Astyanax mexicanus: one gene and its partner. The protein of the gene in region 2 interacts with the protein of the main gene of each other region in a pairwise test. Links are inferred from orthologs where the notes say so. Each region holds a gene or a part of one and is shown on either strand. Other genes may lie near its edges.

Evidence for each region.
Region 1: the proteins of nap1l1 (region 2) and rpl23a interact in binary tests that used the Homo sapiens proteins (3 or more experiments, as listed by UniProt). The link is inferred for Astyanax mexicanus from reciprocal best matches to the Homo sapiens genes NAP1L1 and RPL23A.

Annotation. Positions count from the first base shown.
Region 1 is NC_064424.1:10,153,358-10,170,290, reverse strand, and holds rpl23a (60S ribosomal protein L23a), read right to left. Parts: upstream 8,429-16,933; 5' UTR 8,349-8,428; coding exon 8,324-8,348; intron 6,980-8,323; coding exon 6,799-6,979; intron 6,363-6,798; exon of another isoform or gene 6,293-6,362; intron 6,210-6,292; coding exon 6,033-6,209; intron 5,826-6,032; coding exon 5,756-5,825; intron 5,604-5,755; exon of another isoform or gene 5,541-5,603; intron 5,467-5,540; coding exon 5,452-5,466; 3' UTR 5,409-5,451; downstream 1-5,408. Other genes in the region: tlcd1 (TLC domain-containing protein 1), read left to right, coding at 1,563-1,645, 3,241-3,624; rab34b (ras-related protein Rab-34), read left to right, coding at 10,358-10,411, 10,847-10,938, 11,029-11,094, 12,276-12,377, 12,483-12,547, 13,512-13,563, 13,703-13,784, 13,855-13,945 and 2 more.
Region 2 is NC_064409.1:26,593,153-26,610,401, reverse strand, and holds the start of nap1l1 (nucleosome assembly protein 1-like 1), read left to right. Parts: upstream 1-10,427; 5' UTR 10,428-10,571; exon of another isoform or gene 10,572-10,591; intron 10,592-12,977; 5' UTR 12,978-12,991; coding exon 12,992-13,008; intron 13,009-13,833; coding exon 13,834-13,922; intron 13,923-17,249. Other genes in the region: osbpl8 (oxysterol-binding protein-related protein 8), read left to right, coding at 879-984, 5,028-5,157. UniProt on the Homo sapiens protein: Histone chaperone that plays a role in the nuclear import of H2A-H2B and nucleosome assembly.

The DNA of each region.
Region 1 (16,933 bases), on a different chromosome or scaffold from region 2:
AAACATACCCTCTACAGCCAACTTAACACTTATTTGCTGAAGTGAAAAACAATGTAATGAAACATATATAACATGTATGGTGGATTTATATATATATATATATATATATATATATATATGTTTTTGTTGCTGTCAATTCGTAATTTGTTATTAATATTTAGAATGTTAAATTGACTGGGGCAAAAAAAATATGTTATATGTGGTTTTATAAGCCTGTTTACAACCATGCTATTTTAACTCACACCACTTAACTGTTTTCCTTTTGTGAAGGTCTTTTGAAAAAAAATAGTAACGCTTTTATTGCCTGATTGACACCATCACAACATTTTACTTCCCCATAGCAACTCCATTGTGTTGCCATTTTCTATTTGTCTTTATGCTTCAATATTCTTCCCAAGAAGTCATTGCATTTCGCCTTACAATACTTGGTACTACTTTAAAATAAGACTACCTTTATGAAGGGTTTATAAATGGTTTACAATTAGTTTATTAATGGTTACTAATTAGATTGTAAATTCCTTAAAAATCATTAATAATCAGTTATAACACATACGTAGAAAGAGCAACATAGATCTTTTGTTTGTCAAATAGTGAACCCACAGCCATATGTTTTGTTGCCATGTCTACGTATGTGTTATAACTGATTATTAATGATTTTTAAGGCATTTACAACCTTATTAGTAACCATTCATAAACTAATTGTAAACCCTTTATAAACCCTTTATAAAGGTAGTCTTATTGTAAAGTGGTACCAAATACTTTCATAATATATTCAACAATCAGAGTCAAGACTGATACATAACAGTTGATGGGTTCTGGAATTGCCACATTTGAAAGCTGTTTAACTAATATGGGATTTTTGTATGTACCAAACTTTACTTATTTATTATTCAGCAATGCCTCATTATATACAGTTTGACAGTTGTATAATTGTACCAATGTATGGGGCAGTAATATGTAATAGTTTAGCACCATCACCCATTGAAGCAAATTTATCCAACCAGTTTAACAACCACGTGATTTTTTAAATATGGTTTAAACAAAGTGTTCCAACAGAAAATCAAACTGCACAGCTCTGTTTCTCCTTGCACTGACTTGTAGATAGGAGTGGTAGTAGTTAAGAGCCTGGGACTGTTTGCTTAGTGTTACCAGGGCTATAGTGGTAGACGTTGAGTAGCGCTGTTTGACAATAATTAACTCTATCAGTTCTAAGCAGTATTCTTTTAAACATGCTAAGATACTTTATGTAGTGTTTATTTAATGTTTTTCTTAACAGTTCTATTTTTAATGCCAGACAAGAGAAAATAGGGGTTTTATTTGCCAGATCAACTATAAAGCCTCACCTCAGAATATAAAACATTAAGGACAATGACATCAGTGTTTCAGGTGTTAGGAGTGGATTTTAAGTACACTACATTTTAAACACAGCACATTAGTATGCATGCTATCATTTGTATGTGATTTATATGTGACTTTTGACAAATAAAAAAAGAAAAAGAAAAAAGAAAATGAATAGAGTAAACTGAGTTTAACCATCTGGAATTCTGAACTTTCTCTTTTAGGGTACTTCATTCAAGATGCTGGTGACATCATCTTCAGTGGACATGCCAGGGAGTCATGGGAGTTCCTGATTCATCATGTTTTGGTAAACCAGACAAATCGTTTAGACTAGCTCGGTTTATAGACAACCCCTTAGTCAGATTCTGCTAATGAATGGAGAATTAGTAAATATGACTGTTGTATAGGAAGAAAATGTAGGACTGCAAATTCTGTACTGAGTTAGAAAGCTGGACCCACTTTAGTCACTGGATGTTGGCAAGACAGAACTGGCTTAAGGGGATGTTTGGAGTGATGATTGTGATCTTTATTGTAAGATGAATGATAGAGATGGTCATGAGGCGGGAGCATGATCCTCTGTACCAATATTTTACATTTAGAATGTCAGGATTAATAAAGTAAAAAGTAAAGTATCTGTACCTTCTGTATCTTTAACCCCTTTTCACAGTGGCCATTGTTCACTATTTGGTAAATTAAATAACCTCTTATTAATTATATATTTTGATAATCTTGTTGAGCTACCTATAATGGTTTTCATTTTATTAAAGATTAACCAAAGAGTTCCAAAAATGTCTCCAATTGTCCCAAACTGTATCCAAATGGCGCAAAGTTTCCCAATATCCCAAAACTTGCGGAAAGGTGAATTATTTTGTAGCCTTTTGATTTGGCACATGTGGAGTCCCACTGGGCTCTATTTTGGGGCCTTGAAAAATTATATTATTTATGGTGTTACAGGACTGACAGAATTGTGGGCTTACACTGAAGGTTGGTTGCCCTGACAGGGATTAAACCTAGTCATATATTTATATCTATAGTTTCCTATGAATTGAAATTCAATTTAAAATTATTTTTTTTATGCAAAACTAGGCCTAAGGTCTAACTAGGTCTAAGAAACTGATCCATGGGGCTTGAGGGGTTCATTCTAGGAAATCAATTGTAAAATAGCACTGTACCAATAAATCACCTCGGTTTCTGATGTATAAAACCAAAGAAATGTTTAATTTAATGTTTCAGGTTTAAAACAACACACATATAGGCCAGGATATATGCTGTGAACTGTGCCAATATTTAACATTTAAAATGTCAGTATTAACAAAGTTAACAAGTAAAATTATGTAAAGTAAAAGAAAATGAGATGAAGTTTGATTAAACAGCACATATTATGGAAAACTGACATTTTTATTATAGTATGTAAACACAGTTAAAAGAGTCACTTCTCAACAAAGTTTTTGTGACGTAACAAAAACCAAAAAAAAAATATTTTAGCTTGTAATATATTTGAATGAGGATTAACTCATTCGATGGGCACCTCTTCAGAACAGAGGTCCCTTATATATACAGCTCTGGGAAAAAATTAAGAGACCACTTTGGTTGCCCTGACAGGGATTATACCTAGTCATATATTTATATCTATAGTTTCCTATGAATTGAAAATCAATTTAAAATCCGTTTTTATGCAAAACTAGGCCTAATGCCTAACTAGGTCTAAGAAACTGACCCATAGGGCTTTAGGGGTTCATTCTAGGAGACCAATTGTAAAATAGCACTGCATCAATAAATCACTGCGGTTTCTGATGTATAAAACCAAAGAAATGTTTAATTTTTAAAGGTTTCAGGTTTAATACAACACAAATATAGGCCAGGATCTATCCTGTGAACTTAACAAGCTTTTTTGTTTCGCAGGTGATTTCAACGTTCATGTACGCTTTGATAACGAGTGTCTATGTGGCAGGGGCTGTGATAGCTCTCTTCGTTGAAGTAAACAGTGTATTTCTGCATCTACGACTACTGCTCAAACTGGCTGGAGTGCCCAGAGACTCTCTCCTCTACACAGTTAATAAGCTGATCAATGTAGCCACGTACATCAGCTTCCGGCTCGGGGCTCAGTTCTATCTCTCCTGGTACATCATCTACAACTACTCCTGGCTGGACCACGCCCTGTTTTTCCTGGTCTGCATGATGCTGATGAACATCATGATCCTTGTATATTTCTACCGTCTTCTGCGAACAGACTTCTTTACACCACGCAGTCACCAGAACGGAGTGAGGAAGTTTGCCAATGACTAGTTTCCTATAGAACACGGCCAGCAATCTTATCAGACATTCTAACGCAAACTGCACTGATAAACCTCACACTGGACAAGTGAACAGTTCTTCACTACAGTTACATCACACACTAAGTTTATGAATTCTGCACAGCTGTATTTCTCCACACAATGAAATACAAAACATTGTCCTGTATAATGGTGCTAACTTTTTACATATATATAGATTTAAGATGAATGTATTATGTTTACCATACAGTGCTCACAAACAAATGATTGTATGATTTGTGAAGTGGATTTTTTTTTTTGAGATTTTGATCCCAATGACAAGATCAGCTAGGCATGAGCATTAAAATATAAATGAATTCATGCCAACTTGCAAAACCCATGACATAGTAGCCCTTTATTAAAACGAATACATCTTCTAAAATCCGTTCTTGATAAAAGTTTTAAAAATGTATAAAAAGATTTTAAAGGCAAAGTCTGTTAGATGCATGTGTTTTAAACTTCAGAATTGTCTACAGTTCTGTTTTAATAAATCCCATTGTCCTGAAATAAAAAAAAAAACATTAGAAATAAGAAATATTGGAGGATGTCAATATTTAAGAAACTTGTGTTAAGTGGGTGGTGAATAAGTTTCAGAATATTTCGAGGTTTTAGCACAATTTCACACAACATACTGACCGGCAAGTATGACAAACATTTGTATACAATGATTAAAATAATTAGAAAGCACCTTTTTTTAGACCCATATCGGTTCATGTGAAAATTCTACCATTTTTAAGATTCTACAAAGTGATGCCCTTTAAATAATAGTCCCCTTATATTTTCCAGCGCTACTTTAGAGGTTATACACAGACAGCTGGAAGAAGAAAGCTCTGGCCTCCATTGAACAGCAGTGAGTTCGGTCTCTGCTGCCCTCTAGTGAAGTCATTTGTGTAAGTAGTGAATTCAACCAATCAATTTACAGTCATAAGCAGCTATTGTATGCTGTTCACTAACAAAATAAAATGCCATTCTATTGGTTACTTTAATTACAATGTGATCATTCGTGTGTATGTTTGTGAGATCTGGAACCAGGAAATTTATCTACAAATAGTATTGAGCTTAAAAAAAAAGGAAAACAGGACGTTTTTACATAAAAATACCTGAACAGTAAACAGAGTCAGGAATAGGATTGAACCATGTTTAAGAGAGGTGAGTGAGATCCCATTTAGAAAATATCTTTTTTCCCCAGTTTTCAAAACTAAAACTTAAACTAAATATTGAAGTTTTAGCACCTTTGGTGGCTGAGGAATTTGATTTACTACCACATACATGCTGTACCGTTTAAACTAAATATAGCTCAAAACACTTGGGTAAATCTGTTATTGATCACAGTTTAAAAAAAAAAAAATAGAATATATATCTGCCCGAACAATAATAAAAATAGGTAAATTTTTAATAATGCAACACTTTCAAAACAGCCAATCTATGAATCAAAGAAACTGACTTTGTCCAACATCTTTTGAACCGATATCATGGTTGAAGATTTGTTTTCTACTTGTTTACTTCCCAGGTCAATTAAACCAAATAATCCCTCTGTTAGAAGCCTATTCTACACAAAAATACGCTATATAAAGTACTTTACAGCCAGCCTTACATTTGGGCAATGTGAGATCTACAATACATTGTGTTCATCAGATCAAGAACTTTTTTGTTTTAGCCTTAGGCAGTAGCTTATTATTTAAATAACTGCTAAAAACTTGTTTTCAAGAGTGCAACTTGTCCAGAGTAATTGTGAAATAAATCAAATGGCAACATGCATGTTTTTACAAACATTTATTCTTCTGTACACTTCAAGAGCAGTTTAGATGATGCCAATCTGAAAGAGAGTAGAAGAAAGAAAAATTACACTCAAGAAACACTAAGTGAAAACAATGCATTGCAGAACTAGGATAGCATCAGTGGTTCCTTTGAATGCATCATTGATTCAGTCAGAAACATTTACATCATGTGCTCAAAATACTTCAACCTGTTTTGTTATTCATGCTGTACATTTATCCAGGTTCATAACAGAAAAGCTTACAAACTTGATAAACATAAGATGTACACATTTTTGCTGCTCAAAGCTCAAATACCCCAAAAATAATTAGTTGCTCAAGACTGCTTACCTTGTTTGCAACATCCAGCGCATCGTAATCTGGTGCCAGACGAACGTATGCCTTCTTTTCACCATCGGGCCTAAAAAGCACATTAAATACTTTAATATTCTACCCGTCATCGCATTCATCACATCTCTCAATTAAACTACACCATGTGAATCAGTGGTTCCTTTGAGAACATCATGAATCAGAGTTCACAAATAATTTACATCATTACACAGAAAGCACACATTTTCTACTACTATATTTTCCATTAAAAAAAAAAAAAAAAAAAAAAAAGTAATACCTGATGAGTGTGTTCACTTTAGCCACATCGATGTCGTACAGTTTCTTCACTGCATGTTTGATCTGATGCTTGTTGGCCTTGACGTCAACAATGAACACCAGAGTGTTGTTGTCCTCAATTTTTTTCATGGCTGACTCAGTGGTCAGGGGGAACTTGACAATGGCATAGTGGTCCAACCTGAAGAAATTAAATAAAAATAATTAGAACACTAAATCTAGGAAACATGTTGAGAAAACAAGAATTCAAAACATGTTACACAAGATGCATCAGCACTGAAAAAAGTGTAATCATAAATATCATGCTTTGATCGCAATTACCATCATGTGCATCCTGCTACTGTCCAACAAAATGTTTGGTCTCCAAGTAGGGCTGCATTTTGGTATTAATCTGTTGTCAATTAATCTGTAGATTATTATTGTACTTAAGTTTTGTACTCAATTATTTCTGCTATGCCCTCCAACTCTCCTTCCTGTGGGAATGGCTCCTTTTCCTCGCTTTTACTCTTACTTTAAAACAATATATTTGGCTGAAGGTGGGATTGAAATGCCCTGTCACAGAAGACATTTTTAAAAAGCCTAATTTGTTGTGTCACATTTGGGAGCACTGTGTAGTCCACTGCTGTTAAAAATTAATGAATTAGTTGACTTTTTATAACAGACATTGTCGACTATGTTAACCATTTGTTGCAGCCCTAACTACAAGCCAAACAATACTAAATAAGAACCACAAGGACCACTGTAAATAGCACTGACAATGGTAAACTTACTTGTTCCTGCGTGGCGCGCTCTTTCTGGGGTACTTGGGCTGCCTCCTCAGGCGCATAGTCTTGGGCCTGCGGAAAGTAGGGCTGGTCCTCATCTTCTTCTTCCTTTGGCTGTGGACACCTTTCAACACAGCCTTCTTAGCCTTCAGGGCCTTTGACTTGGCCTCTGTCTTGGCTGGGACAGCTGTGGGGACATGGACAACACTGTTAAGCTAAATGCAACAATAGTGATCACCAAGATGGCAAAGAACTGATAGTATAATAGTATATTACTGTGTGGCAGAACTTGTGTATAAAACCAACTTATCTGCAACAAATGCCTACAATTAAGCTAGTCACATTATTAGATCATCTTATCACAATACATGGACATAACCTCAACGTGTGTATCAATGTGAATGAAGCAGTATCATAGCTAACTTTTTATATAAAAATAAGTCTGTAAAATATCAGATAATTGTACAATTTATAGACTTTTTACATATCACTGATATCTGCATGGTTTTATTTATGATTCAGGTTCCGTAGGATATTTTTAAATGATGTTTTTCAATGTTTAAGTCTAAATATTTGTAATATAATTATAATTGAAACTTGATTACTCTTAGTATATTACATATGTAGTCGTATTATGCAATTACATTTATTATTTAAGAAGGGAAAATGATCTTAAACTGACTACCATTTACCTCAACTATCTATGGGACTATACCCTCAACACAAAAATATAGTTATAGTTACTACAAGTAGGACAGGGGCACCACTTACACATATTAAAGTCTTAAAACACAATAAGTGACAAAAAACACATTTTTCCAATCATTACGTCACACGTGAGACCCAACAAATACCCAAAATTACAGGTTAACAGGGACATTCACGTGTATGCTAGGGAGATACGTAAGTCAAACTTGGGTTTATAGCTTAAGATTCGAATCAAAGAACTTATCATGGAACTGGTTAAATTGGTAGGCCAGCTAATGATAACTACACATTCCATGTAGATGAACTGGGCCTGGGAAAATGTCTTATGCAGAGTCAACACACAGTTTAGCTAACTTGGCTAACGTTATAGCTCACAGGGCCAGTGAAGAAACCTTGTCTCTATTGCTAGCATAGCATTCACTAGCTAACTGTGCCCCAACGTTTTTTAAACTTTAAGGTATTCTAGTCAATAAACCACAATATTACACCGCTTTTAAAGCAAATTCAACGTTATAAAAGCTCACGTCTCTCTAGCTAGTACACTCGGCCTGACACTAGTCAGTTAAACTTGTAGCCTAGCTAGCTAATCCAACAGCCGGCTAGCTCTGAGACCCAGGCTCAGTAACGTGTGCGGGAGCAGTGTGGACATGTTTCAGCGCTGCGCCACTTTAACAGATTAATATCGTCTCCACAGACCCTTTTCCAACCTCAAAACCCCACATACACTACCACTACACCTTCAGACAACCTCACACCAAATATCCCGCGTCTATATTCAGTCTAACAGCGACTTTTAAACCAAAAATGTTGAAAACGAGCGCACCTTCCTTCTTCGCCTTCGGGGCCATGTTGAGAAAGGAAGAACAGAGGGGTTTCCTGCTCTATTTCGCAGGGGCTCGGTCGCGCGCTGTCCTCGCGAGAACACAGCGCGGTGCATAATGGCTCTTGTAGTTTCGGAAGCAATATAGCTAGATCATAGACTGTATATAGCTAGATTATAAATAATACTATCATACGTTATTTAATCATTCGTTATTTAAACTCAGGCTTACATTTCAATAGGAGAACATATTGCAAAAAAAAAATAAGACAAAAAATATCATAGATAGATAAAAAGAAAAAAGGATAAAACAATAACTACAAACAATTTCAAATAGTACTAAAATAAGTAGTAACATTTTAATTAATATTTTATATTTACTATAAATAATACTGTATTATATAAGCAAGAAAATGTCTACAAATATAAAATTAACATATATAAAAAAAATAACACTATCAATGCAGTGACAAATAAAAGAAATGTGCAAGAGGTGCAGGTATCAGCAGATAGTAAGAATACTATATAAAATGTGCATACATAGGTATTTAATAAAGTGTCTATAGTAGAATAAAGTATTTTACTAATAAACTAAAGAAAAATACCTGTTTATGTCCAAATTTCTACAGTAAAGGGGTAAAAGGTTTGGGGGAGTAAAGATGCTAGCATCACTGCTGCTGTGAGCTGACTGGTTGGTAAAATAATGCTGAAATTACAACCAGAGCAGGTTTAAAGGTTTTAAGGTTTAAAAAATGTGTCTTCGGTATTTAAATATTTGATACTGTTCTATATTTAGATAGGGACAATGTTTTGATATAGAAATGAACAAACATTAATAAATTATGTTTTTTTTTTTTCAATTGCTTCATATACAATTTTTCATTTGGGACTACAAAAGATTATTTAGTGGGTTTTTATTCTCCTGTCGAGAAGTTTTCTGGTTAAGCCATATCCATCCTCACTCAGAGAACTCACTCAGCAGCGCCCTGTAGCGTTTATTACTCTTTATTTGAGCTTTAATGTGAGGAATAAGAAGTGGCACTGTTGAGACTATTTATCACCAGTAGGAGGCAGAAATATGGGCGTTAAAACTCACAAGTCCAGCTGAAGACTGTCACAGATCTGATCCTGCTTTTACTGCTCAGGGAAATGAATGGGATTTCTTTAAAATCTTTTATTAATATAAATTTATGCTGTATAAGAAGAATGATCTGTTTCAGCCCTGCAGACTGAGAGAGTGTTCAGCCCTGTGAGGAGTGATTTCTGACTCTGAGGGAATGTAGGAAGCTGGATTTACTGAGGATAGATATTCTCTTGTGGTATGTACTGTTTCCCACAGCTCTACTGATTGCATGTAATAGTTTTGGGTGTTTTACCAAGATTTATATTTTTTCTGTTTAAAATTAAGAGTTAGATCACTTATTTACAGTATTTAATATGTTTCTAAGAAGTACTAACTCATACTTTAGCTCTATCGTTTAAAAGCTGCTTTCTGAAACATGTCTGGTGACTACAGAGCCATTACTATTAAATATGATACTGTGCTATGATACTGATTTATTTATTTAATAAATGTAGACTCTAAATAAAATGTACTTTTATATATTTGAAATTAAAAATGCAGAACAATGATACTAGGAAATAAACATACATTTTAGCATAACAGGTTTGTAGTGCCAAAGGTTTTGCTCTTACAGATTTGTAATATATAAATACATAATCAAATATCTGATCAAATGTAAACCTTTGAGTGATGCTGAATTTATACATATAGCAATTCTTTTTTGATAATGATTTTAGAATCATTGTGCTCATTTTTTTTTACATATCATATTATATGATATTATTTAAAAATATATAATAAGCTATTTGATGAGTAAAGCAATAAATAATACAGTTAGGTCATACGTTTTTTTTTATTATTTAGTCTTTTATTATAAAATTTGCCTTGTTGACACTTTTTGACAATCTGCAAACAGCTGAATTTGTGTTTGTGTGCTCTTCTGTTCGTTAGACAACTTCTCATAGATCCTAACTATGAGTTCTCTACCACCCATACGAGACGATAGGATCATCTGTGAGCTCCCACTGGTAACCCTCCAACATTTTAAAATGAATATTGATACTGTCCAGTAAAAAAAACACAAATCCCCTTATTTTTTAGTTTGTTTTAACCATAAGGATTTACATGCAAAGTAATGCAAACTCTATATGATATTCCTAAATTGTAATAAAGGGGAAGTTCAGAGAAGTTCCAGATATATTTAAGTATTAATAATATTTAAACACTGAAATGGGAAAAGATTTGACATACTGGCTCTTTTATGTCAATAAATTCCCTTGCTCAGTACCCACAATATGCAGCATTTAGGACAGCACATTATATTGTTATATAAGTTATCTCCATATATCATATACTAAATTGATAATGTGATTACGGTGACAGGCCTATTGGTAATCTGAACTAATAACTTATATTTGTATGATCAGGAAAAATACATTATACTGGATTTATGTTTAATACAGTACTTCACCAAGGATGCTGCTCTGCACACCAAAGACGGCTTTCACGTTACCGTCCAAAACGCATGTCAGACTCAGACATCAGACCCCATGGGGTAAGTCCTGTTCTCTGTCTGTTCATTGTGCAGTCTGGACTCTTCACTGGTCATTATATTTAGATTGAATTTTGTCTATTTTGTCCACAGATTTAATGTAGCCAAGGTAATAGTCGTGGGTGATGTTGGAGTAGGAAAAACATGTTTAATTAACAGGTGAGCACTGCATCCATTATACTGGGTTGCTATACAAATCATACTAATATAAAGTATAATGAAAAGCTCATTATACCAGCTGTCACTGACGGAGGAGGGGTTGTTAAAAAAGTTTAAAAATAAAGAATTTCACCTCGATTTAGGAGCTGAACGGAGCAAGATCATTCCATAGAACACATATTGCAGAAAGTCAAATGCATGTTTTTTTTTGTTTTTTTTCCATCACAAAAAATGCATAATTGTTTTATTGAGTTATTTACAGCTATAAAATGGTCTGTAATTGTATTATTATCATTACTACAAATGTGTTTTTTTTAGTTAAATATCTGAAGATATCTGACTTTGTTAGTTGCATTCAAATGTGTTTTGATGTAGAGTGAATTAGAGCTTCACAATATATCACCATATATTCACCATCACCATCGCAATGTATGATGCATGTGCAAATAGCTAAAAAAATGTGTCGCAAAATTAAAAAGCAAATTAAACCATGCACATCATTTACACTGTTCAAATATTTATAATTGTATAAATTTCACAATGCTCTGGAAACAAATAAGAGACCACTTAAAAATGAAGAGTTTCTTTGATTTTACCAAATTAAAAACCTATGGAATATAATCAGATAAAGAATATAAAGATGGATGATCACAAGCCATCAAATTAAGCTGAACTGCTAGAATTTGTGCACCAGAAGTGGCATAAAGTTATCCAAAAGCAGTGTGTAAGACTGGTGGAGAACATGCCAAGATGCATGAAAAAAACAGGGTTATTCCACAAAATATTGATTTTGGAACGCTTAAAACTTTATGAATATGAACTTGTTTTCTTTGCATTATTTGAGGTCTGAAGCTCTGCATCTTTTTTGTTATTTCAGCCAAATGTTGTCCGTAGTTTATAAAATAAAACTATGAAAAGAATGTTCATTTTACTCAAACTTAGACCTATAAAGAGCAAAATCAGAGAAACTGATTCAGAAACTGAAGTGGTCTATTTATTTTTTATAGCGATTTTACCATTAATCTAAAGTGTGCTAAATAATATCAATAATACTGTAACACTAACACTAATAATATGGTGCTGTATGCCATAAAACTGCTGTGTAGCACCTCGTATCGCATTTGGGACTTCTCAACAGAGATGTTTACATTTCTAATAGTTTTGAAATTAATTCCCTGAAGGTTTTGTAAGGATACTTTTGACAAAGGCTACAAAGCCACTATTGGAGTGGACTTTGAGATGGAGAGATTTAAGGTCCTAGGAGTGCCTTTCAACCTGCAGCTGTGAGTCATGATTCTCTATATAGAAGAATAAACAGAAATGAATGCTCTAATGAAATAAGTAGAGATGTAATAATAGTTACTATTGAATGGTTGTTCTTACTGCAGATGGGACACTGCAGGCCAGGAGAGGTTTAAATGCATTGCGTCCACCTATTACAGAGGGGCCCAAGGTAATAATACAGTAACATTCTGACTGACTGGTTTGGATGTGCCCAGAGGTGGACAGTAATGAATTACATTTACTCAAGTTACTGTAATTAAGTAGATTTTATGAGTAATTTGTAATTTTTTAAGTAGTTTTTAAAATAGGTACTTGTACTTTTACTCAAGTACATTTTGACACAAGTAATTTACGTTGCTACATTGGAAAACTCCCAATTACTGAGTAAAAATAAATAAATAAATAAATAAAAATTGTCTAAATAATAATAAAAAAAAATTGTCACGGATGCTTGCCCGTAGAATAACGAGGCAATAACGTCCTCATGCAATGCAAAATGTGCCTCGCCGCACAGAGCTGTCAGCTTTCAAAACTTCCACATCAAACCTGAGAAAGTATGTGGTGGTATATATTTTATCATTAAACAATCTGCTTAAATGTAAAGAAAAACATGTAAAAAGCAGTTAAAGCATAGCAATGGCAAGTTAATAAAAAAATAATAATGAAACTGTGAAACTATAAAAATACAGTTTATAGTCACCTATATGACCATAACTTTTTAATAGTAAAGAAAAAAATGGATCATAGAAACCTATACTACTTGTTCTTAAAAACAAAAAAAGTTTTATAGGGTGGTGTGAACAAATACTGCCTGAAAGGTCCAAATTATTATGTGGAATAATAGTTCATTAAAACCAATTTAATTTATGATTTGTTTTTAATTTTTTACATCGAATAATTAAAAGTAACTATGTAACTTTTACTCAAAGTACATTTTATATTCAGTACTTTTTACTTTTACTCAAGTAGATTGTTAGATGGGTACTTTTACTTTTACTTGAGTAGAATTGTAGCGAAGTAAAGGTACTTTTACTTAATTACAATTTTTCAGTACTTTTTCCACCTCTGGATGTGCCTGACTGTATTCATGCTAAAAACTGGCATTTTTTTGTTTACTCTTTTCTGAACTGCAGCCATCATAGTTGTATTTGATCTGAGCAACTACTACTCTTTGGTTAATGCAAGGTAAGTCATGCTGTTGTCACACATTCTTGTAGTTATCACGTTAGACACACCTAGATGCTGTTTGGAGCTTAATTTAATTCTGCTGTGTAAGCAGCCCTGTTTAATATCACTGGGATCTGCATGTTGGGTAACTTCACAGACAGTGGCTTGAAGATGCCATGATAGACAACGACCCTTCCAGTGTGCTTCTCTTCCTCGTGGGGACCAAGAAGGACCAGAGTGTGAGTTCATGTTCAGATGAATAAATCCTTTACAGTTGATTGGTGCACTCATGTTTACTGTATGTGTCAGCATCCAGACCTGCTGGCCCAGATGGAGGAGGAAGCCATTAAGTTGTCAGAGGAGATAAAAGCTGAGTACTGGGCTGTTTCTGCTCTGTCAGGTAGGACTGGTTAAAGTAGGTAGCTGGCATATGCTACAAACATGACATCATGACTTATTTTCTCTTGGCTTTAACTTCGTAACTGAAGGTAATGGTTCTGTCACAGCAATAGTACCACAGTGCAATGCCTCCATTTTCCTTGAACAGGAGAGAGCGTGAGGCAGCTGTTTCTCCGGGTTGCGTCACTTACCTTCGAGGCTTCTGTTTTAGCGGAACTGGAAAGGAAGAACACGAGACATGCAGACAATGTTGTTAGTAAGTAGCCTTTTAGTATTTTAGAAATTGGCACATCAGATTCTGAGATGCATCCAGTTTATCATGTGGGCAAAATGTGGCATTAATTTGCCTTCTAGTGGTTTTTAGAATTTAGCATAAAACATTCCCTTGTTCCTGCCATGCATGGCTCTAATACACTCAGTTCACCTCAGGAAGGCCTTTTAAATGCGTGTGGTATGGGTATGGCTTTTATTGGCAGATATGTTGACTTGGTGGTAGGAATGTTCACATTTCTTGCCCACGAGTCAAAGTCTGAATCATTTATCACCCATAATGCAGTGACAATGCAGTAAAAAAAGAAAGAACATATAAAAGTTGCCCCTTAAGTTAAAAAAAAAATCATCTTTAATTGGTATTGAAACAACAGTATCAGAACATACTTTTATTAATACTTATGTTTTATTAATACTTATGTTTTATAGAACGTACTATTATTATCACAAAATAAACACATATTAAATAGTATATAAACAATTTTCTTTTATAACAAGCGTCTTTTCTTAAATATCTCTGAGTTTCATCCCCTCGCATTTAATAAAATAGCTATTTGTCCACTGCCACGCACCATAATTACACTCCGTGTGCACGTTTCCATGAAGATCCACATAAACACGACAGCGAGTGGAAATGGAGGAGCTACTGAACGTGATGTCATGTGATAGAGAAAGCCAAAAAACTCACTGGTGCTCCTGTTTTTTTCAATTGCAGTCTGGTTTTATCACTGAGTAGAAGTGTGAAATATTTTTCTCAGAAGTTCCATTGAGATACTAATCCCGTCCAGATAGGACTTTATATTCCCCAAACATTACATGCTCATTATGAATGTAATGAACAGCTTGAAGCTTTGCCCTGGAATTAATTATATTTTTTTAATGCTTTCAACAAAAACACATTAATGCACACATTTCATCCTGAAACTTTGATGCATTATTTTTTTAATTTAACACAAAATAATTATTATTTTTTTAAGTTTGGCCCCAATATAATTAAGTTTGGCCCCAATTTTCTCCCAAATTAACTCTTTTTATGAACTTAAAAATGTCTAAAACAATCAAAAATCAGACAGAAATACCCTGTCACAAGTACACTGAGGAAGTCCTCAGAGTACACTAAGGAACTCAGTTTAAAAACAAAAAAACTCTTAACTTGCACTGTGCAAAATTTTGTTAAAAAAATATAGTGGCAGTGGACAAATAGCTAGGTGATGAAACTAAACTAAAATTTACCACGGAGTTCAGCGAAAAACAGTAGATAATTCAGCCTGTAATTTTGTCAGAAGATGTCTGAGAAAAACACATACATGGTCATTCCAGATGGGAATAAGATCACAAGAAAACCACCATAAAAGAGAAAAAATGACCCCAGGACTCCCTGAGAAACTAATCCTGTCCGGATATGGCTTTAGACAGCAGCTAAAAAAATACTGATTATGACAACTAATCTTATTTACCCGCTTCCTTACAGAAATCACTGGAGATCACAACGACTTCAGGAAGAAGAAGCAAAGCAACTGCTGCAATTAAGTGTTAAGTTGAGAAGTGTGATGTCAGCAAACAGTAACATCACGTAGTTCACCCGGCAGCACCGACTGCCCCTAAAGAACTCCAGCTGCACTGGACTGCCCAAACAGCTGACGTCAAAGCTGATGGCTGTGTGAGAACCTCAGAAATGCTCTTTAAACAATTAAACAGTGAAGAACAATGAAGGATCTTACTGCGCTTGTGCTCAGCGTCCCAGACACGCATCTGCAGGATAAAATGATATAATTGTGTTGCCAAAAGAGGCTTTATGGTGTATTTATCATGTGTTAATGATTGTGAAAATGTGTTAATATGTGTATTACATATTTAAAGGGATATAAAAAGGATAATATATAGAAAAGAAATTCCACATACAGCACCAGTCAAAAGTCTAGACACTCTACACACTTTCTCATTCAAGAAGGTTTTTTATTTAATTCCTACACTGTATAATAGTACTAAAGTCATCTATGAAGGAGCACATAAGAAAGCATGTAGTGACTTAAAAGTGTTAAGCAAACCAAAATACTCATAAATGTAATATATTATATTACGGTTTCTGAGGTTGGTAACTCTGATGAACTTATCCTGTGCAACAGAGGAAACTCTTGTTTTTCCCTTCCTGGGGCAGTCCTGATTAGAGCCAGTTTCATCATACCGTTTCATTGACTGACCTTCATTTCTTAAAGTATTTTTTCTTTACTTAGTTGAGTAGTTCTTACCATATAATGAATTAGAACATTACTCAAATATGTATATTCACTGTATACCAACTCTACCTCTTCACAACTTTACAACTATTGCTCTCAAACAGTTATCAGCACAGCTGTTAACTGAAATCTAGCCAAGATGTGCAAAACTGTCATCTAAGCAAGAGGTGCCTACTTTGATTAATCTAAAATATAAAACATATTCTGGTCAGTTTTTTATGTAGTAAATAATTCCATATGATTTTTCTTAATAGTTTGGATGACTTTAGTATTAATCCACAATGCAGACAACTTAAAAATAATGAAAAAACACTGAATTTATTTAATTCAAAAGATTATTTTATTTAATCTTTTGACAGGTACTGTATATCTTTATTGTCTCTGAAAAACCTTGTATCTCCAAAATACTAAGAAAAAAACATATGAACATATGAACAGCAAACATTTTCAATAATTTTGTAGCACCTCTACAGTTTCATTTA
Region 2 (17,249 bases):
TTGTGATGCACTGTAATGTATGGCTCAAACATTGAACATTTTACACAAAAGGCAATGAAATGTCTTGTACAATTTATTTTAAACAAACAAAATATGGATACAATACTGATACATACTGTAATTACTTCACTCAGTGGACTATGGGGAAGTAGGTCTTTTAAGTGATACATCTGAAAAGTACTTTATCTAATCTTTTATAATGTACAGAGTAGTGTGGCTGTCATCTCTGACAAATAATACAATAAAAATGAGAGCAGTTATACTGTTTAATATATTACAAAATAAAGTACAAAATTTGCCATTTACTCAGCAGCCACACCTGACATATGCATTACAATAACCAAAACAATTGACGGCAAAAAACTACTACAAGTAATTATACCTGTTTATAATTATTAAAATGCTGTTTTATTAACTGACGCTGCTGCCCGGAGCGGTGCCTAAAGGCATCAATTAAATATTGGCCTTGTGCGCATAGATATCGGTCAATGCCAATAATTAGACGGCTGATTAATCGGTCGATCACTACCCAAAACAACTAATTTAACAGGCCTGCTCCCCATTCACACCTGAGACCTTGTAACACTAACGAATCAATCACATGACATTGGGGCGGGAAAATGAATAATTGGGCACTATTTGGCCATTTTCACTCAGGAGTGTACTGAGTTTTGTTGCCAGCTGTTAACGCATTAATGTCTACATGTTTTAAAAACTGTACACTGACTACATTGAATCAAGGTGTCTTGTCTTCAGTGTTGTCCCACGAAAATCAAATTTAAAAATTACAGAAATGGGAGGGGCATACTCACGTATGTGACTGAATCTTTTCTTACATGTTTGGTGTGTGTGTGTGTGTTTGTGAATGTGTGTTTTAGGACATAAGAGTAAACCCAGCAGTCGTCTAAGGAAAAAAGCTCCAGAAATATCTGACCTGCAGAGCGCAGTGGAGTCCATACGTCACACACAGGAGGAGATTAACAGGTTACACACACACACACACACACACACACACACACACACACACACACAGACATACAGTGGTGCTTGAAAATTTATATAAATAGAATTGGCCCTGGGGCACACCTGAAAGGATGAAAGCTGGAAAGTAAATGTTAGGCTAGTACAGCAAGAGAGATATGATTGAGACCAGTTTAGAGGAGTTTGAGTGATATCAATGGAAGATGGTCTATTGAAGAGAGTGGTGTGACAGATGGTGTTGAATACAGCACTCAAGTCAAAGATGATAAGAATAGAGAGTAAAACAGAATCAGCAGCCATAAAGGAGCTCATCTGTGATTCTTATGAGAGCAGTTTCTGTGCTATGGAAAGGATGGAAAGCACATTGAAACTTTTCATACAGAGTTGAGTCACTATTGTTTTCTCAACAATTTTGGAAATGAAGGCTAGATTAGAAATATGACGTAGATGATTAAAATTGGTGAGATTAGCGCAGTGCTGGGCGATTATGGACTATTCCATTATATTATTATTTATAATTATAATAATTATATTATTTTCGCCCTTACTAAAAATCTAATTAAGGATTATAAAGAAATGGTTTAAAGCTAGGCTTACCTGTAAAATAAATAAAAAAAGCACAAATTATATTTAAAAAATAAATAAATAAATATATGTTAAGACCATAGACTGTATATAAATATGGACAGCACAACAGGGGTTGAAAAGTAGAGCCACTACGTCTCTTACGCCCTCTGGTGGCTGGCTCCAGTACAACTTTTAACCCCGCCTATTTCCATTCAACTGAATGAGAGATGGCAGACTTTTTTTTCTAAAATTACACATCCAGGAATTATTTTGGAAGTTGGGTTCTCTAAATTCTGAACAACACCCCCCCCCCACCCCCACCCCCCGTGTTAATAACCCCCAGTGTTTTTCAATATACTTTATAGGAGTTATTCCGTGATATTTAAAGGGGTGTGGCGATGTGGTGATTGACAGCTGAGGGCAAGTTGATTGACAGGTCGCCTGAGAGCATGAATGCGCACTGTGGCTCAGTCGCGGAGCTCACAGTCAGATCTTTCTTAAAATTCAGATTTTACTGTTAAAAATTACATTTCTGAAGTAAAGCAATGGCTTGTTTAGCAGTTAACTGTTGTAACATATCCTCAGGGAAACGTTCTCTGCTGTTTTTTTGGTAAGTGAATAATTTCCATCCATAAATTCATTAGTAGTCACACTTTGTTCTTCTCCCTAATTTTAGTATATTTACCAATTATTTAGTAATAGTTTGGCTTCAAACCGCCGTAATGAAAGTGAATTGGGACGTCCTGTCCATACTTATATACAGTCTATGTTTCAGACACATTGGGTTAAGTCGAATCATTGAGTGACTCAAAACATTGTTTACAAGCCCATGTGTTCATATTACACACGGTCAGACACTGGATTATGCGGGTCTACAACTGAAAGTTTAGAAATAACGCACTAAACGAGTCACAAAAAAACTTTAAAAGAGTGATTATTATTGTTTTCCACAATTAATCACGGATCCTCACCGGAGAGGGATGGCGCTGCAGTTTTTAGAAGCGGTACGATGTATTTAATGCTGGAACATTTTTCGGTACAAGCTCAGACCTCAGAGCGGAGTGGTTAAAAAATACGTGCTCACTGGTCTGTGGAAGGTGCCGGTAACCAAGGTAAGACAGATAAACACTGCAGAAACGAGTAGTGTTTTTGGAATTTTTTTATTAAAAAGATAAAATGTCTGTATGTAAATTCGCAATTACTCCATTTTAAAAATCACATTAAAACGCCAATTCAGATTATCTGAATTAATTGTAAAAATCGTTCAGCACTAGATCAGCAGCGGGTTTTTTTAAGGATCTCAATAATTGTTGAGGTTTTAAATGATGCAGGAACAGTTCCAGTGAAGTGAGAAGAGTGAATAATTGCAGAGATGAGACGGATCAACGTAGAGAGACAAGCTTAACCAAAACTGTAGTAAGAGGGTCCAGCTAACAAGTGGATGACTTGGACTAACAGATAAAACCTGAAGTTTCTGAAATGGTGGGAAAATGGAAAGAAGAAAAACAATGAACAGGAGCAGAAAGTTTGAAAATTATAGTGAAAGGGGATTGTAAACTGAAAGGCTGGTGGATTTAATGTTTTTTTGTTGTTTTGTTCCCCCAAAAAAATGACATAAGGGAAAAAGGAGTTGAGCACAGATGAGATGGTAGAAAGTCTAGTTGCCATGCTCTCTCTGGATTGGTACAGTAGATGGCGCCCTCTCCTCACATCACACTCATGGTGATGTCGGTCAGCACAAGACGTCTGTTAGCTGAAGTATCAGTGCTGCATTTTTCTCAGAGCGCACTGGCTAGCTTATAATGCTACCCGCACCATTTCAAAAACAGGTGGTGGCTGACTTCACATGTATCAGAGAAGACATATGCTAGTCTTTACTCTCCTGGTGTTGGGGCATTACTAGTCATAGAGGAGTGCAAGTGAGAGAGTGAGAGAAAATTGGGATAATATATATAATATATATATATATATATATTATTATTATTTTTTTATTTTTTATTTTTATTTTTTTTTATAAGTGTTGGCCAGACCATTTTCTTGAGCCTGACCTGACAGGACCTGTAGAAAGTGGTGTGAAATCTCAGCCTGAGTTCAGTTTGGGTATCAAACTGATACTGTAACGGCCTTGTGCAGACAGTTTAAACTTCTGTAGTGTAGCTTATTTAACTCTGGTATGTTGGTTCCTTACATTAACTGTTAACTTCAGGTTCTTATTCAACATTTTGATTGGTTCAAAGTCAGGACTTTAACTGGGGCATTCCAAAACTTTTTAACTCTTTAATTTTATTCTTTTTTAACCATTCTTCTTCTCTTGAGATTCAGTTCACGAACAGACATCCTGACTTTTTCTTTTAGAATTCTCATTTCAGAATTCATGTTCCGTCAATGATGGCAAACCATCCTGGGCCAGATGCAGCAAACCATAATACTATCACCACATTTCACAGATGGAATAAGGTTCTTCTGCTAGAATGCAGTGTTTCCTTTCTCCACAAGTTCCATTTTAGTTTCATTAGTCTCTTAAACATTCTTCCAGTAGTCTTGTGGCTTGTCCGCATAATCTTTGGTAAACTGCAGACAAGCAGTAATGTTTTTTTTTAGAGCAGTAACTCTGCCATGCACACCATTGTTGTTTAGTGTTCTCCTGACTGTGAACTAATGAACAGTAATATAAGCCAAAGTTACCCTTGGAGTGATCTTTGTTTGTTGACCTCTCCTGGGGAGGCTAACAGTGGTCTTGATATTTTTTTCATTAGTGCACAATCTATCTGACTGTGGATTCCAAACTCTTTAGAGATGATTTTGTAACCTTTTCCAGCCTGATAAGCATCAACAACTCTTGGTCCTCAGAAATCTTCTTTGTTCAAGCCATGATAAACTTCCACAAATGTCTTTGATAGATCCCTGTGTTTTTTTAATATAACAAGGCCCACTCACCCCTGACTGTCATCCCATTGATTGAAAACACCTGACACCTTCAAATACCCACTACTCCTATAGGTTCACATAGTTTGTAAAATTGGATCATTTTCCTCAATAAAATAAATTATCAAGTATAATCTTTTTCTTATTTGTTTAATTGGGTCCTCTTTATTTAGTTTTTAGGGTGTGTGAAAATCTGATTTTTAGCTCGTATAAATCCAGAGGTATAGAATATTTTAAGTGGTTCATAAACTTTCAAGCACCACTGTTTATGCATGGACAATCACAGAGTTAGATAATGGGTGGGTAAAGTGGATTGGGTTGAACTAGAGTGGGATGCATTGGGTTAGACTGTCTGATTTGACTAGATGTGTTGGGTTGAACTTGGTTGGTAAGGGATGTATCAGGTTGGACTGGATTGGGTTGATTGGTATGTATTGGGTTTGGCTGGGATGCATTGGGTTAGACTGGATTGGGTGGAACTGATGGCTTACTCCACTGTTTTTCATATTTGTGTGATTATTAATTATTGATCAGTACCTGGTGTTTCTGTGCAGGAGTATCAGTGCTCTAAGGAGTCGAGTGTCGGTCCAGACTGAGCACAGCTCCTTCCTTACTCAGAGAGACTACGCAATCATCCTCTTCCTCATCTGTGCTCAGATCGTCCTCACCCTCATCTACAAATAATCAGAAGATTATTCTTGAACTCCAGCCTGGGATCAGGGACCGAACATAAACCAGAATGGACGCCTCCCTGTCCACCACTCTCTTGCTCCTGACCTCTGCACATGTCCACTTTGCCTCGCTTTGTGTTTTTTTTACGCTCTGAAGGATCCAGAATTTCAGTGAGAGGTGCTCCGGGACTGACTGCAGATAAAGTACATTATGGGAAATGCTCTGGACTGCAAAAGATGAGAGAGCCTAAAAAGCACCGCCTCTTTTACTTTTACTTTATCACTATTATTATTATTATTATTATTATTATTATTATTATACTGTTATATTATCTTTGTTATTTTACAGTGTTCACTTTTTCCTACTGGTGTGTTTGTAAGGGAATTGGATGGAAGGTTTTAATGAGGGATGTCCCAGTTTGATCCAGTGTCTGATGTTTGCTTCTGTAGCCATGCTAGGCTAACAGTGCTGACAAACACTAGGCTTAGACTCATTTTATACACACCCCAAAAACACATCTCTCAGCCCGTTCAGATCTGCATTAATTTAGTGTAGTTATTTTACAAGTGATAAATTTACCTAAGTAAAAACATTTTTTGTGGGTTTTGTGGGAGGCACCCAGGCAGTGGTCATTTTTACTCTCTGGACCTGAATTTGCCTTTGATACTGAGTTTTCTTTAAACTGTTACAATAAAACCTGATTCAGTTGGGATAATTTGTTTTTTGCTGCTGTGCCTCCATAATAAGACATACTTTTTTGTAATTAAGAATTTTTTTAATTAGCAGATGTAATTCTAATCCTCCAGCGGTTCAAAACGTTTACAGTAGACTCAAATCTGAACAGGGATGAGAACACTGGATCGGGACCTTCCTAGTTTTAAAGCAACAGATGAACTGTGTCTCTGTACGAGTGTAAGAGTATGTGTTTTATTTTTTACTAATCAACACACACCTATGGGAATAGTAGGAGGAGCTTAGGTGTAGGTGTAGGGGAGTCCATGGTATTTCAGGTATGTAGTTTTACATTAGCTGTAGATCTACATGAGCTAGAAGAGCATGAGAACCGCCAGCCTCATGCTGCGCCATTGCTAGTGTTAATATATACGGACCAGCAGGACACTGCTTGGCTTCAGGTTAGGAATAAGGTTTAGGTAGAATTAGGGTTTAGGACTAATCCTGTAATTTGACCATAGTAAAGGTGTAGCAGAATGTTTCCTATTGTAGCTCCTCCCCCTTCGTTTAATGTAAATATTATCAGTTAAAGCCAAATGGGAGGAATATAGGAATGAGTTACTTAACGTTTTTCTACACAAATGCTTTAGACACTGTCGTCATATCACATGTGTCTTTTATCTGTTTTGTGTGTGCGTGTTTTAGAGGTTTGAATGTGGTCACACCAGTAATAACTTCAGATTTATCATTAATGTGCCTTTTTAGAGTGGCTATGGTTGGCGGGGTTCTTGGGAGAGACTGGGTGGGGCTATGCCATGGGTGGGACTTAGAAGGGGCATGTGATGGGTGGAGCCTGCTTTAAGTTTTTTTCCACTTTTATTAATTTTGGTTGTTTTTCACTACTGCGTGAGTGACTGTGCCATAATCAGCCTTAGAGACGCGTTTTAACCCACCGACCACAGAGTGTGCGTGTGTGTGTGTGTGTGTCCTGTTGTCACTTGGACAGTGTGCGCTGCATCTCTCTGTTCTACACGGTTAATGATGATGTATTTGTATTTAAGGATTAACTTCCTGTATGTTAATCACCTGTAACACCAATTAATAATCAATAAACAGTGACAACCATCCATCTCATTCTTCTGTCAGTGACAACATCGTGATTGGGTTAGACTGCATTTGGTGTATCAGTTTGGGTATAAAAGATTAGACTGGGTTGGGTTGCATTGTGTATATAAAAGTAAAATTAGTTGGGCTGGATTGGGTGTACAGTTAGGTCCAGAAATATTTGGAAATTGAAACAAGCTCCCTTATTTGGGCTCTGCATGTCACCTTATTAGATTTAAAATTAAACAAATGAGATGCAACTGTAGACTTTCATTCAAGGGGTTAAACAAAAATTAGCTAATTAAATTTACCATAAATACAATGTTAATTTTTAACATTTTGTTAAGAATCCTTTGCAGGCAAAGACCACTGGAAGTCTGGAACATATGGACATCACCAAACACTGGGTTTACCTTTTAATATGCTTTGCCAGGCCTTTACTTCAGCTGTTTTCAGTTGTTGGTTTGTGGATCTTTCTGCCTTTAGTTTTTATTAATCAAATGAAATGCTGCTCTGTCAGGTTCAGACAACCATCTCTCATCACTGTGAGATACTGGAGCATCTTTATCAGATACGGTGTGTGTGTGTGTGTGTGTGTGTGTGTGTGTGTGTGTGTGTGTGTGTGTGTGTGTGTGTGTGTGTGAGAGAGAAAAACTGATAGATGAAAAAAGGGGTAATGATCTCTCATTCTCTGTAGGTTAATGGCCCCTAAGTTCTGTAGTAGGAGAGAGAGAGAGAGAGAGTGTGTGTGTGTGTGTGTGTGTGTCAGACTGCTGTAATGCAGAGTTAATCCGAGTGCTGAATGAGAGTGACACTGCAGCAACTTTTTCAGTTTGGAACATAAAGACCCTGCTGATACAGCACTCACACTCACTCGCACATTCACTCATATACACTCTCCTAGCTCCATCAGTTCATTTATAAGTTGATTTACATAAAAATAAATAAAAGTAATAATACATAAAGAGAAATAAATTACACTTTAAGTTACCACTTTAGTACATAAGCTTTATATACAGTGGTATGATTTTCCTTTATAAATCATTAGTTGTTTGGATCAGTAATTTCAGTGAAACATATGTAGCAGATGAATACAGTGAAATTTGAGAAGTAAAAGAAGTTTATACGATTTACAGAAAGTGTGCAATAATTAAACAAAATTAGACAGATGCATACATTTGGGCACCCAAACAGAAAAAATACATCATGATTTAGTATATTGCAGAAATAACAGCTTCTAAACACTTCCTATAGCTTTCAATAAGAGTCTGGCTTCTTGTTGAAGGTATTTTGGGTCATTCTTCTTTACAAAACATCTTCAGTTCTGTCAGGTTTGATGGTTTCTGAGCATAAACAGCACACTTTAAATCACACCACATATTTTCAATATTATTCAGGTGGTTTGGGGACTGAGATAGCCATTCCAGAATATTGTACTGTTCATCTTAAACATTGTTCTGAAAAATCTGCTGATATTTTCTGAAATCCATGCGTTCCTCAACTTTACCAAGATTCCCAGTACCTGCACTAGTCACACAGCCCCAAAGTAAACCTGGCTTGTCCAAATGTGCTTTTGCATACCTCAAGTGACTACATACAGCCTCACCCTGTACAAAGTGTGCTGAATAGTTGAATGATGCACAGCGGTTGTAGGTATTTGGAGCTGGTCTGTGGGTTGACCATGAATGTTTCTATTTTCTCTGCTAATGTGAACACGAGTGGGGGGGTAGCGGTAGTCAAGCCATAGAGTATCTTTAGAGTAGCCATCTTAGCTAGTTAGTTAATATGCTACCGTGGGTATCCTGGTCTTACAAGAGTGTACACTTGCATGATTAGCTGGACTGTATTTGGCATTTAATGGTCATTTATTTTATGTATGATTTGATATTATTATTGACACTTTACAAAAGAGTGTTTCTTCGTTATTTGCCTGCACAGATAGTTCAGTGAAGCCTGTAAAGACAGTTAGACAATCTACAAGGTATTTTTCTAGTCTGTAAATTATAAACTAGCTTGCAAACACACAAGTTTTTCAATACAGCAAACAAAGGCAATTACCTACCTTCCACGTCGTGCACATAACCCTCAATCCAGTTACTGTAGCCTTTTAGTAAAACAGACAATTTTTCGACTGCTTTCATCATTAATTTAGGGAGGTTAGTTTTCCATGCAGGTGCTGCCATTTAAACTGGTGGATATTCTTGGAATTTCCATTTTAAGAGTGGGTTTAAGGGTTATCTTAAAAATTATGGTAGAGTTATTTTAGAGTTGATCCTGGGGTTAAGTTAGAGGATATAATATTGGGGATCATTATTATTACTGCACCCAGTTATAGCACCACCTTTCTAATGTTTATGGTCAGTGTGTGTATATATCTATGTAAAAGTCTAACTTAAAGTGCAGAAACTGTATACTGACTTGTATTTATCTAAATCTAATATGAGGAGTAAAACAGAAAAACTCTTGTTCAGTAGTATATTTTACACCTTTGCTCAAGTGGAGTCTCGTAAACAGAAGTGAAAAAAAGAATTGGTGCTAAAATACAGCTAATAATAAAAAAATGCAATATATCTTTAAAACATTCTGAAAGTTTGGCACAGGTCAATTTATTAGTTTGTTTCTAAACAATAAAATAGTCTTAAGGAGATGTTTTACAGTTTGGTTGTGGTCAGATGTTGGTTCCCCGTGTTTGAAGCAGTGGAGGAGAAACCTCACATGAGTCAAAGTGAAAACAATACAGTAGAGTTTTAGTACATTAAGTAGTAATCTGGATTTCATTTACATGCTAAATTATACCTACAAACCTGTAAACTGGTTTTATTTTGCCTTTACGTTTACTATTAGGCCAGAAACCATCAACACAAACCATTTTATCAGCCTGTTCTTTAACCTTCAAGTAAAACATTTACTACATAACCCACATTTCATAACTACAACTCACATGACCCATATAGCACAACAAAATCAATGCAATTATCTTATATTCTATTTATTATTCTTACTTGACAGCGTATTTTACTTTAGCCTCAACGTGTGACATGTGGTCAGCTACTCACCACAAACATTATTCTCCTGAAGTAAGTGTAGTCCTTGACTACCTGTGGCTTTCTACAGCGGGCGGGGTTTATGTAAATATAGGGGGTGTGGTTACAATGAATTAAGACTGGTATGTAGTTTTATATATTCAGTGTAGAGACTAGCTACAATGTTTCAGATTATTGGCCTTTTTATAAGCTTAAATCTTAATATACAGTGATAAAGTGTTATTTCTCCAACATTTGATTCCTCTGAGTGAGTATTTGAGTAATTTACCCCTGACTATCAGTCTGAAATGGCATTACTTTCTGTCTCATAGTTCAGAAAACCCCATTTTTAACAACTTTCTCCTCAGAAACAACATGGCGGGAAAGGCGGGAACATCGACCGGTCGCCTCCCCCATTGGCTCGGCGTTACCCCGGTGACTGCCGCCCTGCGTGATGACGCTATATGAGCGCGCGCGGCGGGAGCGCGCTCCCTTTTTTACCGCCATCAGAGCGGCGCGAGAGAGACACGCAGATCCAGCAGGCTGAGGCAGAGTCTCCGAGTCCCGGCCTCACAGTCCCGCCTCAGACCGCTTCATCTCCGCCTACAGAGTCTCCCGCACCCGCCGGTACACCGGATCAGCAGCAGGTGAGCTCGCCGTGGCTCACTGAACTGCGTGTTCTCTCGATGGCAGCCGCGGGGGAATGTGTTTGATGGTGATGCTAAGCTAACGAAGCGCGGCCCACACGCGGGCGGGGAGAGGCGGCTGTATCGCGGAAAGTAAGGGAATGAGTTCCCGCGGGTGTAAGATACGGGTTAGATGTTGTGTTAGTGAGGCGGGCTGTGGGCATTTATGGCTGTGTCGCCTGTCTGGTTGTTCCTCCCCCCGTTTCTTGTCCTTCCCGCGGCGACCGGGCGCGGTGTTGGAGCTGAGGAGAGTAACAGAGCTGAAAATCTTTATTTTACCTCAGACACACCGCGGGGTCGCTGCTTTAATCTGCTCCTCCACATCACTCACAATAACTCCCCTGCTGCTCGTAGGGCCGACAAGGAGCTGTAAAACACCCCCCAACCGGAGAAATGTAGGTCCACAGTGGCAGGTACCGGCAGTTCTCGCTGTTGGTTTTAATCCGTCCCCCCTCCGGGTTAAGGGGTTAGCCTCAGTGCTAACGGGCTCATCCGGGGAAACACGTGGAGCCGCGGCCGGTCTTGGCGAGGGGGCAGCGGTTGCTCTCACTCTTTGGAGGTGGTGGTGATGGGGAAATTAGAGCTGCTAAGAGTTAAAGTAGTAATAAAGTAATGACGGTTATAGTCCAGTCATAAAACGTTGCCCTGCTTTTTGCCAGTTAGGCCCACTAATGCCCATGCGGTCCAAAATAGTGTGGTAGCTACTGTGTCTGAGTGGGCTGCTGTGAGGTCATCTGTATTACTGTTTAATTTTAAATCTGTAGCTACATGTTTGAAAGAGAAACATTTTCGTTTTGAATGGAGTGTATTTGTGAGGTCACAGAAAACAAGCTGGGCTTTTGTGCTGCAGTTCTGCTCTGATCCATCACAGCTTTTTAAATGTAGGCAGCAACTAATCTCATTTGCATATCTGTGGTAAAAGGAGGGTTTTCACTCACTACGGTCTTAATACATAGGTCTGGATTCTATGATTATGATTTAGTCTGAGTTTAGTTTTGTAATGTGTTCCATGTATTACCAGTGTAAAATAAGCATAGGCTTTGCTTTAGTCTCAGAATGTAAGCAAAACATTCTACCCAAATATAATGATGGATTCTTTGGTAATGTTTAGTGGTGGTGGGGGCGTTAAAGATGTCCACGTGGCCTGGCTTGGTTCTGTGGAGGCTAAAGGGGAAGAACTCAGTAAAGTTCAGTGAATAGAGCTGTGTTGCTTTTAGATCTTATGCAGTGTCAGTTTGTCTATCAAGATCCCAACAGCAGCTCCTAAACCTAAGGTCTCAGCTTTTGGTGTTCAGGTTTAACATATTTACAGTTTATTATTTAGTTTATTTGCTGTGAGAAATAAGTATAACTAATATAGCTTATACAAATAACAGTTTCAGAGTATGCCAACTCTGACGAAGACAAGTAAGAAATAAGATCCACAACAGGTTATTACTATGAGTAACTGTTTTCTAAAACTTGCAGTAAAAGGCAGAAATGTAATTTAAGGTCCTCTACCTTTGGTCTGGCATGTTAGTTATGGAGAAGGTGCAGATAATTCTGGTGCTTATTTTTTTTCTGGATTTGTTTTGCCATTCAACAATGACATTTAAACAGGATTCAGATATTAAACTGCAGTAATAACGTTCACCTCTCAGATTTATAGTTAAGTGTGTAAGGAGACCTGGAGGGCAAGTATCATGTATTGTCTGTGTGCCTCTGTCTGTGTGCCTCTGTCTGTGTGCCTCTGTCTGTGTGCCTCTGTCTGTGTGCCTCTGTCTGTGTGCCTCTGTCTGTGTGCCTCTGTCTGTGTGCCTCTGTCTGTGTGCCTCTGTCTGTGTGCCTTGCCGCTGGTGGATTTTGCAAAGTTCAGCTCTTAAAAACTCTTTCAGTAGAATGACGTTATTATAGCGCTCCACAAAAGAGCCTGGCCTGTGATGGGACCCCTCCACTATAGATTACAGCTTACTCATCTGAAAAAACACAATACAAAAGGTCCTCACTGGCTGCTTTGACATTGGTCAAAGATGGATGAAGATGCATCCCCCCCCACACACGTAGTGCAGTAGATTGTTTACATTTTCTGCGATTATATAAAAATATAAAAATCATTTGAATGTCTCCCTTCTTATTGGTAAGAGTGCTGATATGCCAGCTTAAACCTGTCCAGTACAGCTGATAGTTGAATTTATTCAAGGTCTTATTGTTTTCTTATTGCAATCACAACCGATCTAGAAGTAGTTTGGGAACGGACTGAAAGCGCACCTAATGTCGCCTAATTGCTGCCCAGAGTGACTAGTCTCTTTAAACACTTACTGTCTGTCATGTCTGATCCAAAATCTTTTTTCTCTCTCTCTCTCCTCAGGAATAAAAACAGACATGGCCGATCTCGACAAGTAAGTACCGCTTCTTTCTATTCCCAGCATGCCTCAGCTTAGAGCTGCACGTCAGGATATTGTAAATAATTTATCATAGATGCTAAATAAATCATAATGGATACTAAATTGACAGTAGGTACTGAAAAAGGCACAGCAGGTAATGAGGGGTGGGTGCCAGGGTGATATTTGGTGGGTATTGGGTAGTTCCTTTATCAATGTGAAGTTAGTGCCAAAGCTTATTTGCCCACCTCTGTTGTGCATCTGCCTCGCAGCCAGGCCCTGTCCACCTGCTGCTAACCCAAAAACACACACGGGTGTGAGTGTGAGAATCCTAGAAGAAAACTGTTGGAGAAGCATATCAGAGACAAGAATACACCAGAAAGAAAGTAAAAATAGATTGCAGTGAAGATAAAAGCAGTATATTAAAATAAACCAGGACTGATGGAAATGTGACAGAATGGTAGTGATCTGGACTCTTAATTGTCTGTGCCAGAAATACGGCTTATAAACTTGTGCTATAGTGCAAGAAGGTTTTGAAGTGATGGACCAGCCTTGTGGGGAAGACCATTTACATTACATAGTAGTTGAATTGCGGAACCTACATGAACTTGTACAGTTGGGACTTTACTTACTGGACTGACTGGGTTTACTGGTGGGAAATTCCTCTCAGGTTTTTTAAAATGTGCTGTGAATTCTGAATTCAGTCTGAGGTGGTGGGTCTACCAGATAGTAGTATAGTCTGGCTCTGCCTCTGGTTTCGGTTTCTGTAAAGCAGAGGCAAATGAGCTATCAAGTTTTAGGACATTTTTTTAAAATAATGAATTATTTTAATTTTTGTTTCAGTAAAGAGCAGGCTGAGCTGGACCCAGCTGATATGGAAGATGTTGAGGAGGTGGAGGAGGAGGAGACCGGGGAGGATGTCAACAGTAAAGGTACTGTCTGCTTACCTGCTGACCTTGCACATTGTCCAATTGCAGCAAATCCTTTCAAAGATCCCTTTAAAAATGTCCTTACCTTTTCAATGCAAATGTAGTTTTATATTCAACATTAAGTGATACAAAAAAATCTACATGAACATTTTACTCAACATATACCTATAAATGGTTCAATCAGAGAAACAAATTATTTTGAAGTGGTACGGTTGGTGAAAAAAAAGGCTGGGCATTCTGTGTAGCCTCTATTTTCTCCATTTAATAATAATGAATCTTCATCATAACCATGTTTTGTTTTTTGGCATGGAATGTTGATATTGGGCTGGAGTACTCTTATTACATTTTTCAAACCAGGGTTCTTTCCTACTCTAATCATAGGCTCCATCTTTTGGATCTTGTTGGAACAAACAATGAGCCTGATTGTGGCACTTAATTAAGAACAAATATTTTTTTCCACTAACTGTACCTAAAAGGTATCGAACCGCAGGGTTTATACCTAGGTGTTAACCCAATCGTGAATTTTTTTTATTATTATTTTTTTTTTGTATTGTTACTGCGTCACTATATTTTAAACGCAAGTTAATTAAGGCACCAAATTTGACTCCTGCTTCTGCTGTAATCTGCCCCGCCCAATGCACTGAACTGTTGTCTGGCTGAATGATTGAACGGTGCGCTCTGAACTTCTAGCTTAGTCCTGGTCATAGAGCTTTTTCTCTCACACACACACTATTCCACTTTCCCTGCTCCTCGTTCCTGAGATTTTTTTTCTTCTCATCAAAGTAAGTTCAAATTTGGAAATCTCACATCCAAGCAGAGATTTTTACAATCTAATTTATCATGCATTCTTTATTCCAGCACCCTACATTGGCTTTATCGCCACTCAAACATACAATTATTTACTATTATTAAATTTACTATTAAAATTGACACCACAAATACACCTATAATTGCATTTTTATGAAAGAATGAATAAAAACGTGCAATTTAATCGCAGCATTTTGTTGTGATTAAACGGATTAAATTTTTTAAGCGATTGACACCACTTAAATATAATAAATAATCTCACTAGTTAGCAAGTTCATTTATATTTGTTGTTTACAATCAGATCAAATAAAGACTTAATAATAACCATGTGAATTTCACAGTATTTTTTTAATTTTCTAACAAATGTCCTTGTTTGGACACATGCTGCCAGATAAAGGCTTCTGTGCAAGAACTATGACTAGATTTAAAGAAGACAGTTACAACATGCGTCAATGCACTTAAGGCCTTTACTAATGAGGGATGTGCCACGATACCTATTAATCGCGGCAAAAAGCTTGTCAAGCTATGTTGCACATCTGAAGGACGCTGTTACTGCCAAAGGAAGTTGTACTTATGTACGTCACTGGGGTTGAATAATTTTGTCTGAAAAAATCCCAAAAGGATGTTTGTTGGTATTAGGAAAGTTATGTCATTCAGTCAGTGTTCTCCACCCTGCAGAAATCATGAACTTTAATTTCCTATGGCCTATATACAGGTGCTGGTCAACGAATTAGAATAATTTGAAATAGTGCTATCATGAAATTCTTTGAATGCATTTTTTGTGCAGAAAGCAAATCAGGTGTTCACCGCACCTGTCCTACTCGTTAGACTAATCACAGAACCTGGAAAAAAATTTGCTCAGCTGAGCTTTCCAAAAGGCCCATTTAGGCCATTTAACTGTGACACTGTTGTTTTATTGAATTAGAATAATGGAGAAACCGTTTCATTGAATTAGAATAATTTTTATTTTAATTACAATCATCACTTTCTCAGTATTTTGTGGCTGTCCCCTTGGCTTGTATGACTGCCTGAAGTCTCCGCGGCATCGATTTGACCAGCTTGTCGCAAGTTTCTGCACTCTCAGCTTCCCAGGCAGTGGCGATGTTCTGCTTCAGTTGGTCCAGCGTAGTAGGCTTTCTGTCGCGAATTTTCCGCTTGACGATGGCCCAAAGGTTTTCAATGACATTGAGGTCAGGCGAGTTGGCCGGCCATGCCAAAACTTCAAGCTGTTTTTTAGTGAACCAATCTTTGGTCGACTTTGCCGCATGAGCCGGTGCAAGATCCTGTTGAAATATGAAGTCTTCTTCGCCGAACTGTTCCTCAACAGTCGGAATCAGGAACGTTTCCAGAACATCTTGATATACGGCAGCATTGACAGTCTTCTTGAGGAAGCAGAGTTTCCCTACACCTCGAGCGGACATGCATCCCCAGACCATAACGCTCTGGGGAAACTTGACGGATCTTTTCACGCACTCGTGGTTGTAGGTTTCGCCACCACGACGCCAGACACGAGGACCTTGGTCACCGAAGGAGATGCAGAAGCGTGATTCGTCACTGAAGACCACTTTCTGCCAGTCTTCAGCACTCCATTTGTTTCTTGTTCAGCATCGGTTTTACTGCTGGAACGCGAGATTTGAAGCCGAGTTCGCGCAGACGACGGTAAGTGGTTGATCTGGAGACGTCAGCGCCGGTTGCTTGTTCCGCAAGTCGGTGAGCTCGGAAGTGGACTTGAACCGGTTGCTTTCTCATCTTTCTCAGCTGCTTGTTGTCGCGAGCAGAAGTTTTTCGGACGCCGGAACAGTTGGTGCGCTTGCTGCAGTTTTTCTTGAGAGCTTTGCAGAAGGAAGACTGGCTGATGCCGAGCTGCTCAGCAATTTTAGTTTGGGTCTAACCTTGTTGGCGAAGGGCTTGAATTTGAGGCACTATTCCGGTTGAGAGGTCGCGCTGCTTACCCATGATTGATTTTACAACTTAGAAATTCTACTCAACCCTGACTTTATACTGCACAGTGAACACTCTTCACAGAAAACAAAAATTCGAGCATTTATTCTAATTCAATGAAACGGTTTCTCCATTATTCTAATTCAATAAAACAAGTGTCACAGTTAAATGGCCTAAATGGGCCTTTTGGAAAGCTCAGCTGAGCAATTTTTTTTCCAGGTAACGAGTTCTGTGATTAGTCTAACGAGTAGGACAGGTGCGGTGAACACCTGATTTGCTTTCTGCACAAAAAAATGCATTCAAAGAATTTCATGATTGCACTACTTCAAATTATTCTAATTCGTTGACCAGCACCTGTATGCTGCGGAAATGGCTCTTAAAATACAGTTGGTACAGAGCAGGAGGAGAGCATCAGTTATAGTAATGTTCAGAGTGCTTAGCAGCTGCTTAGAGGAGCTTGTGGCTGCTGATTTTTGGACAAGGCTTAAGGGGTCTAGGTTTTTCTGAAGCTTTAAAATTTGCATCATCTGAATCTTCCAATTTTAGACTGAGCTATTTTTAGATTGGGTAAGAAAGTGAAGA